2 linked regions of the Notamacropus eugenii genome follow. The protein of the gene in region 1 purifies or fractionates together with the protein of each later gene. This does not show direct contact. Links are inferred from orthologs where the notes say so. Each region holds a gene or a part of one and is shown in the gene's direction. Other genes may lie near its edges.

Region 1 (7,543 bases):
GAGCTGGGGAAGGAACTGTAGAGCCCAATCTTGGTCCAGCCATGACTTTTACATGTGTCATCTAATCAGTTTCTACATAGGACTTAGACTTCTGGGACCAAGTGAAAACAGTCCAGTTTTTAATGAATTTTTATTTCTCACACTATTTCTCACCGCTAAAGCTGAGGATCTGAGTTAGGCTCTCTCTGTCAAGAGTCCTTCAGAGGAGGCAGAACTCTTAAGGCTTAATACAGACCTGCACAACTTGACAGGTAGGGGCCAAAATTAAAATAGGCTAAACTTCTTTGGGCCATAACTTTCCAAGTGAAAGTATAAATTAATGATTAACCTATTTTGCAAATAAAACATTTTTTAAAAAGGAAATTTCAATTAATTTTAAACCTTAAACTTCAAAGTTTTCCTTTATCATGAAATCACTCCTCTCAGACTAGAGACAGACTGATTGCCACAGGTCATGTGACAAACAGGAGAGAGTGAACAGTGGCAAAAGTTACATGACAGGCACAAATAATAATGACTAGTGGAAGGGTGGATTCTTTTATATCCTTCATAGACCACCCAAAACCCTTTGGCAAGCCACAAGTGGCCCATGGGCCATATGGTATGCAGGCTTAAGATAGCCTAGACCAATTCGTATTGCAGTCTTGACGAAAGTGATCTGCCCCCTCTATTCCCTAGCTTTCCACATCTATGATCCGGTTAAGGTTTTCCTTCTTAGTTTGATATCTGACAGTTATCTAACTGTCAGGAATCTAACATAGCAGCTGCAGCAGGGAAAATGTTAAATATCCTTTCCTCAATCTTGATGATAGCTTTAAAATGCTATTGTGTGTGTCCCATCAGCTTCAACTCACGGCAGAGGGTGGGCCTACTTGGAACACTGTCACTGTGTTTCATCCTTGGTCCTTTCTTCATCTTTGCAAAATATTGAGCTCATGAGTGAGGCCTCCTAAAGTGCCATTAAAGAAATATTACATTTGCTCTTTTTAGGCCAGTGTAGAAAAGGAAGTTGGTGGGAATGGAACAGTGTAGGGAAGGAAGGAGGAAGAGAGGGAGGGGGGGTGAATAGGGGTGGTAGTGTCAAAAAAAAGAATGCTTATCTTAAGTAATTGCAATCATATTTTAATTATAGTTATATTTAACTATATTTTAATTATATTAAACAATTTTGTGCCTTGTGGTCTTGTTGTTCAGTTGTGTCTGGGTTTTTGGGGTTTTTTTCAACTAAGATAACCGGAGGGTTTGCCATTTTTTAAGGACTCCAGCTCATTTGACAGATGAAGAAACTGAGGCAAAACAGGCCTAGGGTCACATAGCTAATAAATGTCTGAGGCAGAAGAAGTCTGCCTGACTTCAGGCTGGGCACTCTATCCATTTTGCCACCTAGGCCCCTCTTATCTTTCCCAATAGATGTAACCTCTTAAAAAAATTTTAGTTGATATCTTTGGTTTGCATATCACTTAGATTTTCCCCTGTATCCTTGCTTTCACTCCCTACCCCCAAGAATTGTAATTCTTTAAAGGACTGACTTTTATCTACTAGTTCAACCCTGGAGATACCCAAAAAACTTTTTTTTTGACCATCTATGAACCAAGGGGCAACCCAGACTCTGCTTTGATTATTTCCAGGAACAGGGAAATTTCCATTTTTGGACAGCTTAGTCTAATGGGTCATTTGATGTTACAATTATGACTCAGTTGATTGAGTTATTAAATAACTATGCATTTAAACATTTGAAAATTTTCTGTATTCAATTGAGGGGCATCTACACAAGTTGAAGCCCTGCCTTCAGAGAGATTACAATATTGAGGTCCAATTCTATTCCTGGAACTTTCCCATCTCTTCTATTCACTTCTCCTTAAGCAATAATCCTGCTGTGATGCTGCTCACGTCCCTCTGCTGTCTCTGGACATTTGTCAAACCCTAAATTCCCCATAAAATGAACTAAATACAATACTCCAGGTGTGGTGAGACCAACGTAGAGGACAAGTTTAGGACATTCTTCTCCCTCCCTTTTTCTGGATGCTCCCCTCCCCCACTTTAAGTCACTGCAGTCCAAGATGATATATCAGTTTTTTTTTTCTTTCTCGCAGATGTCTATCTCATGGTTAAAATTCATAATGAACTCAGGCAAAATGCCCATCTTTTTTCCCTTCTTTTTTCCCACACAGACATCCAGGCCATGTTTATTCTCATGTCAAGAAATGGCAGTTATTTTTTTTTATCCTTTCAAAGTTAAGAACTTCCCATTTTATTCAAGTCCCAGTGGTAAGCAGGTCTCCTCACTGCTTCCTGCCTTCCGAGAAAATAAATGATCCATCTAGACAAGACTTTATCAGACTCTGCTTTGAACATAACTGAGACTTTAACACAAATCCTGTTGAATTCAGGGAGTTTAATCCCCATAATAGTTCTATATATGTATTTTTACGGAAAGCATAGCATATGGATAGAGAGTCAGTTCTGGAGTCAAGAAAGGATCTGAGGCCATTTGTACCACCCCTCATATAGACATACTGGCTATGTTGCTCCTATGACCCTGAGTGTGACACAAATAGGACAAATTTTTTAGTGCCCCAACTTTTTAGTGCCACATTGTTTTTGCACTGGTGTAGTTTCCTGTAACTGGTATAATATTGAATAAATAAAAGGGGAAGGGGGAGGAGGGGAAGGGATGCCAGGCCTGTGATATTATTATAGAGTAGGGATTCCCATGTGGAAAACTGTGACACTTGATCTGAGTGTCTATTTTTCCACTCCAGTAAAGCCCCTGGAAGGCAAAGGTTGCTGGGGTTTTTTGTTTTGTTTTTTTTTTTAAATTACTTTCTTTTGTATCAATCCCAGCTCACTACTATGCATATAACAGGCAAGTCAGATTTTAACTCATTGACATTTCTGTTTCTCCAGACTGGGCTTCCTCCTCCCTCCACATCAAAACAGCCCAGTTTTGTTTCTTTTTCTTTTTCCCCCTGTTTTTAGGGAAGATTATCTGGTTGCTGGGGGCAAGGAGAAGAGAGAGAGACCAGGGTAGGAGGGAATTTGAGTAATGGGAGGATGTGGGATGTGGATGGGTGGGTGTTGGGGCGCAGTAAGAAAGGGGAGGGAGACTCCACAGGATTTTCCAGATGGGATCACCAAGACCTTAGTGATTAGAAAAGGCGGGGATAAATATGACCAGAGTTTGGGGGGTGGGGCAGGAAGGAGGGGATAAAGACATTTATGTAAACTCAAATGGGGGGGGGGGGTTAGTACACACACAGATAACTATGCTATTTAAGAGATGATGATAAATGCAGCGGTGTGAGGTACCCCAAGTGTGGTTTGAGCTGGGGGTGGGGGTGGAGGTGCTAGACAGAAAGGGATGATGGTTTTAGAAAATAAGCTAGAACATTTTTACCTGCTGGCAGAACGTTGTCACTCTAGTACCGTAGAAATTCGTTAGCCAGAATAAATTAAACTAGGAACCGAGCAGAGCAAGGAACTGGTTCTTCCTCTCCCCACCCTCAAGTCGGCGGGCGATGGGCCCAGGTGGGGGGTCTGAAGTGTTTACACTCTCCTACAGGGTGGGGGTTCTCTCCACCATTGCTCAGAGGGCTGGGAAGTCGGCTTGCCTTGGGAAATGCTCAGGATTGCCGGTTTACTGGGCTGCCCTGGACAACAGCGGGAAAGAACCAGGCAGAGGGCACTTGAGCAGCAGGAGAGGAGAAAGGTGGGCGAGCGCCTGCTTGTGCGCGCGCGCGCGCGCCTTTTCAAAGGCCCTCAGGGCATCATTAAACACATTCGAATCACAGAACAGACTGTCAAAATGGAAATGATCAGATTTAGGGATCCTGGATCCTAGAAATGGAAGGGACCTCAGACCTTGTCTAACCCAAGCCCCATAATCATACAAGGCTGTACAGTAAACATCAGAGGGTCTTGCAGAGCTAACATTCTTGCCTCTAGGTTCCACGGGGTCATTTTCCTCCAAGTCTCTTTGGTTAATTTAATTAGCACAGTACCATCCTGGCACTTTTTGGGGAGGTGGGGATGTGGCGGATGGGGGGAGGGGAGAACCTACCAATGAATAATTTCATCTGTGTATCTCTGGTGAAGGAACCTCATCTACCAAAGCACATGGGCCCTTTTGAAACAGCCTGATTTCGAGGTGCCTAGGGCGGTCCAATGGATGAGTGGCGAAATATCACCCAGGGTCACCCAGCCAGCTATACAGTAGCTGAGTTAGAACAGGAAAGTTAGGCTTTCCAAGCTCTTTTTACTCGTCTGTGCACGGATAACTGGAAGGGCCCCAGGTTGGAGAGGATGATCTAGGGCGTCCATTGTCGTTTCATTGAAAGCCTGCGATCTCAGCAGATGGCTGGCTGGCTGGCTTCCCAGCGGGGAGCCGCGGCCGAGGCTCGAGACTCCGGCTCTGCAGTGGCGGCACTAGAGCACGCGGGGGCGCCGTTGGCGGAGGGCGGAGCCCTGCGCGCAGGGAGGCGCTCGCTCCCTCTCACGCTCACTGGCTCTCGTTCTCTCTGCTGTCCGCTCGGGGCGCTCTCTCGCAGTAGGAGCGCGGGAGCTCTCTGGGCAGCTGTTAATTTCTTCCGGCAGACCAGGCGAAGCGGGGCCGCCCGGCTGGCGGGCCGTCAGGCAAGCGGAGGAGGGCTGCCGATTGGGTGGTCGGGTTCACACCGTGCGATCGGTGTTCACAACCCCCGGCGCCGGTCCGCTCGCCCGCCCGGATGGATCGGCCCACGACCAGAGTGCAGTTCCTCACAGTATCCACCTCTGGGAAGGGCGAGGGGCGAGGGCCAAGTCAAGGGGGAGGCGGAGGAGGGAGGGGGAGCCCGGGAAAGAAGGGGGGTCGGTCGTTGTCGCCCTCGCTATCGCACGCAGGCGGGGCGGCGGCCGTGACCGAAACGGGGGTCGGGCGGGGCTGGGGCGGGAGCGCGCCCCCCTCCCGAGGCACCCCTGCCTTGGCTTTGAGCTTGGATTCCTTGACTGTCCCCCCTTCATACAATCGAGGGCTGGGAGTTGAAGGGCCCCGAACGAGAGGCCTGCCGCTTGATCCTGGCTCGAAGGGGCGCACAGTCTGAGTAAGTAGCCTCGGGATCGGGCTAGGGAGGAGGGAAATCCTCTGGGCCCTGGGTACCCCCGGCAGGCAGGGACTATTCCGCCAGTGCCAGGCGGTCAGCCTCGGCCACCACCGGGCGCGGCGCCCGGGCCCAGGGTGAAGAGCAGTGCCTTCCGAGGGCTGGGCGGGGCCGGGAGATGGGAGAAGGGTTGAGGGAGGGGTAGGAGAATTGGGGAGGGGGGACCCTGGGTGGGGGGGGGAGAGGAGAATGGGAGGAATATTGAGGGGAGGAGGATGGTGGGGGACGAAGGAGGATGGGGAGGAGCAGGAGGGGAACCTGTGGAAGGCCCTTTTAAGAGCCCCTAGGGTTGTGCCCCAGTATAAGGACGCGCCCCCCCCCCCCGCCCCCCGTAGAATTAAGGATCTGGGAGGGGCTCTATTCCTAAAATCGTCTTTTTAGAGTAGAGGCAACCTCAAAGGTCTTTGATCCCAACCCAATCATTTTACACGAGGAAACTGAGGCCTAGAGACATTAAATGACTTGCTCAGGGAGTCACTAAAGTGTCTGAGACAAGATTGGAATCCAAGTTTTCCTGACTCTAAGTCCAGAGCTTTGTCCATGTTACAAATCTTACTGCCAACCTCATTCTACTGAGAGATAAGGGGGGCTCAGGGAAAGGATCATAGATGTAATGATAATAGTTGCAATAATTACAATAATATTATCTCATTTGATCTTCATAACAGCCCTGGGTGGAAAGTGCTGTTATTATCCCCATTTTACAAATACGGAAACTGAGGCAAACATTGATTATTTGCTCAAGGTCACATGTGGCTAGAAAGTGTCTTAGGCAGGATTAAAACCAGGGTATTCCCTGGGTTTTCCCCACCTCCTAGCATGGTGCTGTGGTTATATCTAGCTGCCTAGATTTAGAACCAGAAGGGAGCTCCAATGGGCCCCTATAGAGACAGTCCAGGTCCCCTTTATTTTCCAGAGGAGGAAACTGAGTGATGGCGGGAGAGAGAGGAGCTACCATACCAAAGGTCTCAAAAGTAGCAGAGTTGGAGATAAAGAACTCTAGAAAGAATCCAATTCTTTAATGTTACAGAGCAGAAAACTAAGGCCAGAAGTAAAGAATGCCCTGCTCTGCCACTGACCTATTTGGCCTTGTCACTTCATCCTAGTAATAATAAGAACAAATTACTTTTCTCTATCTCCCCCGCTTCCTTTTCTCTTTTGTATGGTCTTGTGATTTCATAAAGAACTCTGCACAAGGTAACTCCCTCTACCATGAGAAATCAGTCCAGCTCTGAATCCTAAATCCTGAGAAAGTTGATCATCTTGAGTGACTTGCTCAGGGTGATGAAACTTCTATGTTATAGAAGGGACTTTGAACCCAGGTCTTTCTGACTCATCTCTGGGCCAGCTCCAAAGACTTGGGCCTTTTTATATCGCCTTATGATTTAGTGCTTCCCTCATGCTCTTGTGAGGTGGGTAATACAAATATCCCCATTTTACAAGTGAGGAAACTGAGGCTTAGGAAGAGGACAAGTCACATAATGATAACATCTGATATTCCTGTAGCGTTTGAAGCTTTATTGATTTTACAGGTAAAGAAACAGGCTCAAAAAGAGGGTACCTCACTCACTTTTATCATAATAGTAGTATCTGACTTCTTTGTTGCCTTTAAAGGCAACAGCCCTACAAGATAAATGGTGCAAGTATCATCATTCCCATTTTTCAGGGGAAGAAACTGAGGATTAGAACTGGAAAGTGACTTTCCCAAGGTCACAGAGTAAGAGGCAGGGCCAAAATTCAACCCCCAGTCTCCTCATGCAGATTTAATATTTTTTCCACTATATCATCTCCATCTCTTTAAGCTCTTGTTTCCCATGTCGTGGTAGTGAGAATAATAGCAGCTCTCCACCTTGCTTGGTCTTTTCAGTGTATGGTGGATAAAATGAGATAATAGATGGGAAAATGTTTAGGAAAGGATTAAATAAAAGTACCTTAGAAAATGCTGTTTTGTTACTTTTAACAGACTAGGCTTTGCCTTCTTTAATTCTGTACAACTTAATCCCCACTTGCAACCGTTGATGAGAAAATTAGGAACTCCTTTAAATGGAGGCTTTTGATGCCAGAATAGTGGCTTTAGACATTACCACTTTAATAATTTGACCTAGGGGTCACATGGCCAGTGTAAGTATCAGAGCTTGGGACTCAAGCCCAGGTCTCCTGGTGCTTCCCCCTCCTACTAAGCTAGGACTAATAAATAACTCTCCCTCTGAGTGACTTGGGGACAAATACTCTTAGTAGCTTCGAACAGCATGAAGTGGGAGTTTGATAAATTATCAATGACTGATCAAAAGAACACTCTAGTGAGCTGACCATGTGGCTGCCAGCTTTCATACCATTGCCACCTTATCCGTACTCAAAATAGCTCTCGTAGTGACCACAGTCATCAGCATTACCTGTGCCAAGGGCTC
Region 2 (7,086 bases), on another chromosome or scaffold:
GGTTTGGAAAAGTGTCTGTCTTGAGTGGGATAGCAAGTCAATCAAGGAGGTGTAAAAGTATTGCCTTGCTGAGGCAAAAAAAGGCCCACCTGAGATTTTACATATAAATTTGTAGTGAACCCAGTCAGCAGGGTTTCATGATTTCCTTCAGCTTAGTTTAGCAGCACAAGAGGAGGAGAAAAGGTGTTGGATGGTGGGAGTATCCAGAGCTAAGGCCTGGAAGGTCAAGATCTTCAATAGAATAAGAGAAAGATGACTGTGAGGACTTGAATTGGTTTCCCAGGGGGTCAAGATGGGGAAAGTAGGAGAGTATAGTGAGTATAAGGGGTGATAGCCATGGAAAGAGGCTGAGGGGTAGAAGGATTCGAGGTTGCAATGAGGACAAAGAATAGTGTTTGGGATTGCAAGGCAGGGGAAGAGATGAAATGACAACAGGCTGTGATCCGATAAAGGAATTTCAGAATTCCTAAACATGGAAGTTCATGAACATACATGTGGGAGATGGCTTAATCAAGGGTATGACCACGTCTGTGTGTACTTGAGGTCAGATGGAGAAGCAGGCATAGGAAATGTGCAAATTTGAGGAACTGGAAGGTTAGGGTGTTTTGGGCAATATCAGAGTGTATGTTGAATTCCCCTAGTGTGAGGGTAGGAATTGGGGAAGCGGGGCAGGAGAGGGAGAGAGACAGAGAAAGAGACTGTGATCCAGGCACTGAAGTCATTTAAGAGAGGAGGGTGTCCTTGAAGTTGGTAAATAACAGCTGCCAGACTCTTGATTGGTAGCAAATATAGATTCAGTGAACCTCAAAGGAGACGTTTACTTAATGATCAATGGAGAGCCTAGAAGTGACAATAGGGAGCAATGAGTATTCTAATTCCCCTACCATGATTAGTTGGGGTATAAATGAAAGGGCAGTTAGTGTGGAAAAGGGGGGCCAGAGAAGCTGTGTTATTAGGAGGGAGTCAGATCTCAGTAAGTTTCTGTAGACCAAAGGAGTGAGAAAGGAAAGGGTTTAAAATGAAAGCAAGTTGTTACTTCTGGAGTGGATATTCCAAAGAACACAGTGGAAGGAGGGAGGTAGGTTTCGAGTGGTACATTGAGGGATGGGGACAGTTGGATTGCAGAAGATGGAAATAATGATAATAGTAGTAATAGAAGTTAACATTTATAGAGTTCCATGTGTCAGGCACTGTGTTAAGCACTTTACAAATCTCATCTCATTTGATCCTCACAATGACCTTAGGAGATGGGTGCTATGAATATATCCATTTTATAGATGAGAAAACTGGGGCAGACAGGGTTAAGTGACTTGCCTAGGGCAAAGTCAAGTGCAAGTCGCATCATTAGTTCTCTGATGGCCTGGTCTTCTTTGACAGCGAAGGACAAACACACAAGTGTCTGAGGACACATTTGAATTCAGGTCTTCCTGACTCCAAGCCCTGCTCTCTATTCACTGTGCCACCCAGATCATCAGAATGGATTTGAACAAATCAGAACGTGGATTTCAATGGTTCAGAGTCATGGTGATGGGGAGAGTATGACTGGATAGGAATTTGTTAATCATTGACAGAGGGAGGTATGTAAGTGGTTACAGGCTCAGGTGAGGGGCCTAGTAGAGGTGGAGTTACAGGAGGTCACGGAGCATACTAGGAGGGAGGAGGACGGAGTGGAGGACCCAAGAAGCCTGGGACTAGGCAGCTAGGTAATAGCATTGGCCTTGGAGTCAGGAAGACATGAATTCAAAATTGACCTCAGTTAGTTACTGCCTGGGTGAATCTGAGCAACTCAATTAACCTGTCTACTTTAGATAGACAACCTCTGTCAGCTATAAAATGATTTAATAATACCTACCTCTCAGGGTTGTTGTGAGGATCAAATTAGATAATATTTGTAAAGCACACTTAACAGGGTACCTGGCATGTAATATGTGCCTAACAAATGGTTGTTTCCTCCCACCCTTCCATAGCAGGCAATTCCTTGCTTACTTGACAGGCTCAAGAGAATTAGTAAAGCTTTAAAGTACACTAAGACTTTTGGGACATCCTATATTATAAAGTACCTAGTGGCTGGTACATATAAGTGGTGCTTTCTTTAAATGGTTAGAGAATACAGAAGTTAGCTGGAGTAGTTAAAGAAGTCTTCAAGGTGGAGGTAGAAAAGGGAATAGAAATTAGAGAAAGGCCTAGCCAAGAGAATTAGTGAGCGAAGACCAGTTGCCTGGAGTGGGTAATGCATACTCAGGGAAGGAACAAGGATATCAATCTTACTGAAACAAAGGATTCCTATAGAGAGTGATAAAGTTAGGAAAAGAGCATCCAAGGAGAGACTGTGTCTCAGGGCAAGAGGGGATCCCAGACCTAAACTAGGCACCTCCAGATCCATACTAGGGGAGTGTAATGGGAACGGGTGCCCACTGAAATCTGTGTTGCCTACTACACTTTTTTAGGTCACAGTCCTACACACAAGGGTAGTGTTGCTGGGGGGGAGGGGGAGACAGACTGAGAGACAGAGAGAGATGCTTTTATTAATGGAGTAAAAGCTTGAAGAAAAAAATGGAAAAGAAATTAAATTTCTGAAAGGATTGGAAAAGGGAATTAACAGTGTGGGACAAGAAGTATAAAACCTTGTCTGAGCAACAAACTCCCTGAAAAATAAAATGGACTAAAAAGAAACCAATAACTCCATGAAACAATGAGATGATAAAACAAAATCAAAAGGTTGAAAAATAGAAGAAAATATAAAGTAGCTCAAAATGAAAACAATTGACCTACAAAAGAGTAGAAAAAATTGAAGATTAGACTATCTGAACACCATGAGTGAAAAAAAAGGTAAGTGACCACATCTTGTAGAAAGTAGATATAAGAATAATCCACCAGTTCCCTTCTGAAATAAGCTCCCAAATGAAATTTCCCAGCTACATCACAGCAAACCCCGAAGTTTCCAGATTGAAGAAAAAAATCCAACAAGCAGCCGGAAAGCAAGATTTAAAATACCAAACAGTTAGGATCACACAGGATTTAGCACCCAGAAGGAAAAGAATTAGAGGCTAAGAATAACTTGCCCAGCAAAATGCATATAATGCAACAAGGGGGGCAATGGATCTGTAATGAAATAAAGGATTTCTAAGCATTCCTAATGAAAAGGTCAGTATAGAAACTTTGAAGTTCAAATGCAGGAGGTAAGAGAAACATAAAAAGGTCAATATGAACAAACAATGATAATTGCCTAAACAAAGACTTAACTGCTTACATTCTATTATAGACAGGTGATATATGTATACCCTCTGAACCTTATTATCATCAGGGTTCATAAAGGGAGTCTAACTCTACAAAGTCTAGGAGCAGTTCTGTTACCTCTTGACCTTAAGAGAAAAATGGAAAGAGAAGGTAAGAGAATAGAGGAGGGGAAGGAAGATTAGGGAAAATTATCTGACATAATTAGGGTGTACAAATAGATATCTACAGAAACAAAGAAGAGAGGAGGAGAGAACATCTCACACTTCAATTTCACTCTCATCTGAATGGGGAAGAACATACACACACATACATCTGCTTACAGAAATATAGTTTATTCAACATAGGAGCGAAAGGGGAGAAGTAGAGAGGGAAAATTGGAAGAAGGGTAGATTAAGGGAGGGGTTAGTTTTAAGCAAAACAAATTCTAAATTTGTACAAAAATATTTAAAGTTCTCTTGAGGTGGCAAAGAATGGGAATCAGAGGGGGCACCCATAAATTGGGGAATGGATGAACAAATTATGATGTTTTGGAATACCATTGTGTTGTAAGAAGCGTTGAAGGGGATGGTTTCAGAGAACCCTGGGAAGACTTGTATGAACTGATGCCAAGTGAACCGAAACAGAACAATTTATAGCATGATATAAGCAACTTCCCTCATGTGTTGTTAAATGAAGGTGGAGAAAGAACCGGGAACTCTTATCAGCTAATAACTAACCACAGTTCCAGAGGACTAATGATGAAACATGCTATCCACATCCTGATAGAGGTTTCAGAAGGAAAAAAAAAGGATTCAGAGTGTAAAACGAGACAATTTTATTAAAGGACACGGTCAGTGTGGGAATTGTTTTTATTGGCTATATGTAACAGGATTTGTTCTTTAGTTCACAAGTGTGCGTGGGGGGGGAGAGGGTTGGAGTAGAAGGGTGAGAAGGCAGATTATTGCTAATTGAAAAAATATGTTATATACAATTTTTTTAAAATATTGGTCTTGATCATTAAAGGCCATAACTCCTAGGTTCTTAAGGTGTACAAAGAGCTACCTCCCATCAACCCAGATGGGCAAATAGTCCCCATTTTACAGATAAGGAAACTGAGGCTTGAGACTGGCCCAAGGTCAGCCAGCTCATAGCGTATCAGAGGCCCCGACCGGACCACCTAGACCAGGGAGAGGCCGGCGGACTGGAGAGGAGACTTCGGAGACCGTGTCTGCTCCGAGGTGGGGGCGGGGGAGGGAGGAGTCAGGACCGCTGCGGTCCGACCCGAACACAATTCCAGAGTTCCCCGCGGCGCCGCAGAGCCACCGGGGCATCGCCTTTGCTCCCAGCCCCTTTCAAAGTCTTTTCCTAGGGATCGTCTATTAAGGCCCTAGAGCGAGCCGGCTCAGGGCGGCTTCCCACTCAGCGGCCGTTCTAAAGCTTTCTCCCCCTTGGGTTTCCTCTCCAGCTGGACCCTTCCCTTTTCTTCCTTCCTCCCGGCTCCTTTCTCCCTTCCTCTTCCCCGCCCCTCGCTTCTCGCCCCACCCCTCTCCCGCAGTTCAGCCCCTCCCTTGACACCTCCCCCTCTCCTTTAGGTCGCTGACTCGCCCAGCTGCCACGTTTCACTGATGACATCACCGAGGCCGCTCAGTTTTAGCCAATCCGCTAGGGGGAGTCAGAGCGGAGCCTTCTCCCGAGAGACGGTCGGGAAGGGAGAGGAAAGGGGGGGGAAGTGGGGTAAAGTGGGGTGGTCAACAGCTCCCTCAATGCGCATGCGCCAAAGGAGCCGGGCTCGTCGGGAAAGCGAGTCCCAGCCGTCTTGCCAAACCATCTGGCTGCGGGGCCCCCAGGCGCGCGCCTGGACTATCTTGCCCGGCATGCAGTGCGGTGCGGCCGCCCTCTGGGCTGTGTAAAGGCCCTTCGGTCTGAGGCTTCCCTATTTCCTGGTTCGGCGGCGGCCATTTTGGGTGGAAGCGAGAGTCGAGCGGCAGAAGCGGCGGCGGCAGTGGCAGCTGATTGTGTTCACTGGGTGCGGAGGGGGGTAGACGTTTGCTCTCCCGGAACGGACTTTCTCATTCCTTTTCGTCGGTTCCGGGCGCGGAGAATCAAGGCGGCAGCGGCGGTAGTAGCAGCAGTACCAAGGGCGGAGGTGGCGGCGGCGGCGGCGGCAGCTGCAGTGACATGTCCAGCATGAATCCCGAATAGTGAGTGAGGGGCCGGGAGCGGGACCGAGGCCGAGGCTGGGCCGGGCGGTGAGGGGCGGGCACCGGGCAAGAAGAGGAGGAGCGCAGGGCCCGGGCCAGGCGATGCGGAGCCGGGCCGAGCCGAGCCGTAGGCCACCGGCGCGCAGCCGAGCGAGGCCCGCCGCTCCGAGCCGGGCCGAGCCGGACCTGGCGGGCCCCATTGTCTGACGGCGGAGGGGGTGCGGCTGAGAGGGAGCCGCAAGACCCGAGGGGGGGGCGGGGTCCGGTGAAATGGAGGCTCCCCGAAGCAGGCCCGGGAAGGAAAGGGGGGTTGTGAGAGGCTGCCTCGGAGGGCCCGCTGAGGGCTTCTTTTCTCTGAGAGAGGTGACTTCCGCGAAGCGGGTGGGTACTTCGGGGGGGCCGGGGTGGGGTGCTGTCAGCCCCCCGCAGGAGAGGGGAACGGCTCCGCTTCTCCGGAGCTTGTTTTGCCTTCCTTCCTTGGGGCCCCGCCAGGCGGCAGGTGAACATGGACGCTCCTCAGGGACCGTGGGGAGAGGAGAGGGGCTCTTAAAATGCCCCTACTTCTCCGAGCCTGTGTTCTGGAGGAGCCAAAACCCTCCTGAGGACCTGGTCACTCGGGCCGGAAGGACTCCATCGCCTCTGAAACACTTCTCTGTAGGACCCAAGGAAAACCTCAGGCACAAGCGCACCTCCCCGTCGTCACCGTGTCAGACGAGCCGAGTGTGGCAGCCTGTCACCCTGAGGGTGATGGAGAGCCGGCCTCCGCGCTGACCCTTGGGCCCCCGGGCACGCCGCTCTCCGAGCCCCTTAGAGTTGCCCAGGAGGTGCTAGCCTGTGTGGGGAGAGGGAGTTTCTTCCCTTAAGAGTTCCGGGTGCTGCTGAAATCACAGGTCTTGTCCCTGTCCTCATCCTTACAGTTATAGTAGAGAGAGAAACTGGTGGATCTGCAAGTTTTGGATTACCTTACCTGAATGATTGCAGATAAGGAATGAGGTTTCATGACGTGTCATGAAAAGTTAATGCATTTCTTTTTCTTGCTTAATTGAGAAGCAGCGACAGCAGATGTGACATACTTGGCACCTTTCCTAGTAACTGGAATTCACTTTTCTTGGGAAAATTCTGTCGTTCTTCCCCAAACCCCCCAATTTCCTCCCCTCAATACATGTAAAATTACTCAAATAGTAACGATGTGATTGAAATGGATGCTTTTAAAATAAACCGGTATGTCAGAAGGAAAGATTAATGTTAGAGTGTTTTCTTAAAATTTGAAGTTCTACTGCTAAATTCCCTGTACTCCTATCCCCTTCCCCTCTGGTCAACCCATCAGCTTAGCTGACAGTCATGTGTGTGTCACATGGCTCTTGCAAAATGCATTCTGACTGCAGGTTTTGTAACACTGTGGTTTGGTACTGAAATGTTTCCTTTGGTTTGTATTAAATTGCAGAGAAGGCATCATATTTGATTCGAATTCTGCATATTTTAAGATGTAGCTAGTTGATTTGCAGTCTTGCAGTTTCACCTTTCCTTACAAAGTTCTAGGAAAAGGGGCCCCAAGAAAACAAAATTGCAGAGTTGACTAGTGTCCTTAACTACTCCTTAGCAGTTTCTTGGCCACAGTCAGAAACACTGATTAGCCATTGCTTTAGAAGTTGGTTGCCTTGCTGCTTAG

The links. Proteins that work in one complex are often made in the same cells at the same time.
Region 2: the proteins of OCRL (region 1) and RAB1A purify together in Homo sapiens (co-immunoprecipitation; 3 studies listed by BioGRID and IntAct, with this or other methods). This does not show direct contact. The link is inferred for Notamacropus eugenii from reciprocal best matches to the Homo sapiens genes OCRL and RAB1A.

Annotation. Positions count from the first base shown.
Region 1 is NC_092879.1:51,287,797-51,295,339, forward strand, and holds the start of OCRL (inositol polyphosphate 5-phosphatase OCRL), read left to right. Parts: upstream 1-4,536; 5' UTR 4,537-4,724; coding exon 4,725-4,760; intron 4,761-4,998; coding exon 4,999-5,078; intron 5,079-7,543. UniProt on the Homo sapiens protein: Catalyzes the hydrolysis of the 5-position phosphate of phosphatidylinositol 4,5-bisphosphate (PtdIns(4,5)P2) and phosphatidylinositol-3,4,5-bisphosphate (PtdIns(3,4,5)P3), with the greatest catalytic activity towards PtdIns(4,5)P2.
Region 2 is NC_092872.1:639,183,742-639,190,827, forward strand, and holds the start of RAB1A (ras-related protein Rab-1A), read left to right. Parts: upstream 1-4,076; 5' UTR 4,077-5,394; coding exon 5,395-5,417; intron 5,418-7,086. UniProt on the Homo sapiens protein: The small GTPases Rab are key regulators of intracellular membrane trafficking, from the formation of transport vesicles to their fusion with membranes.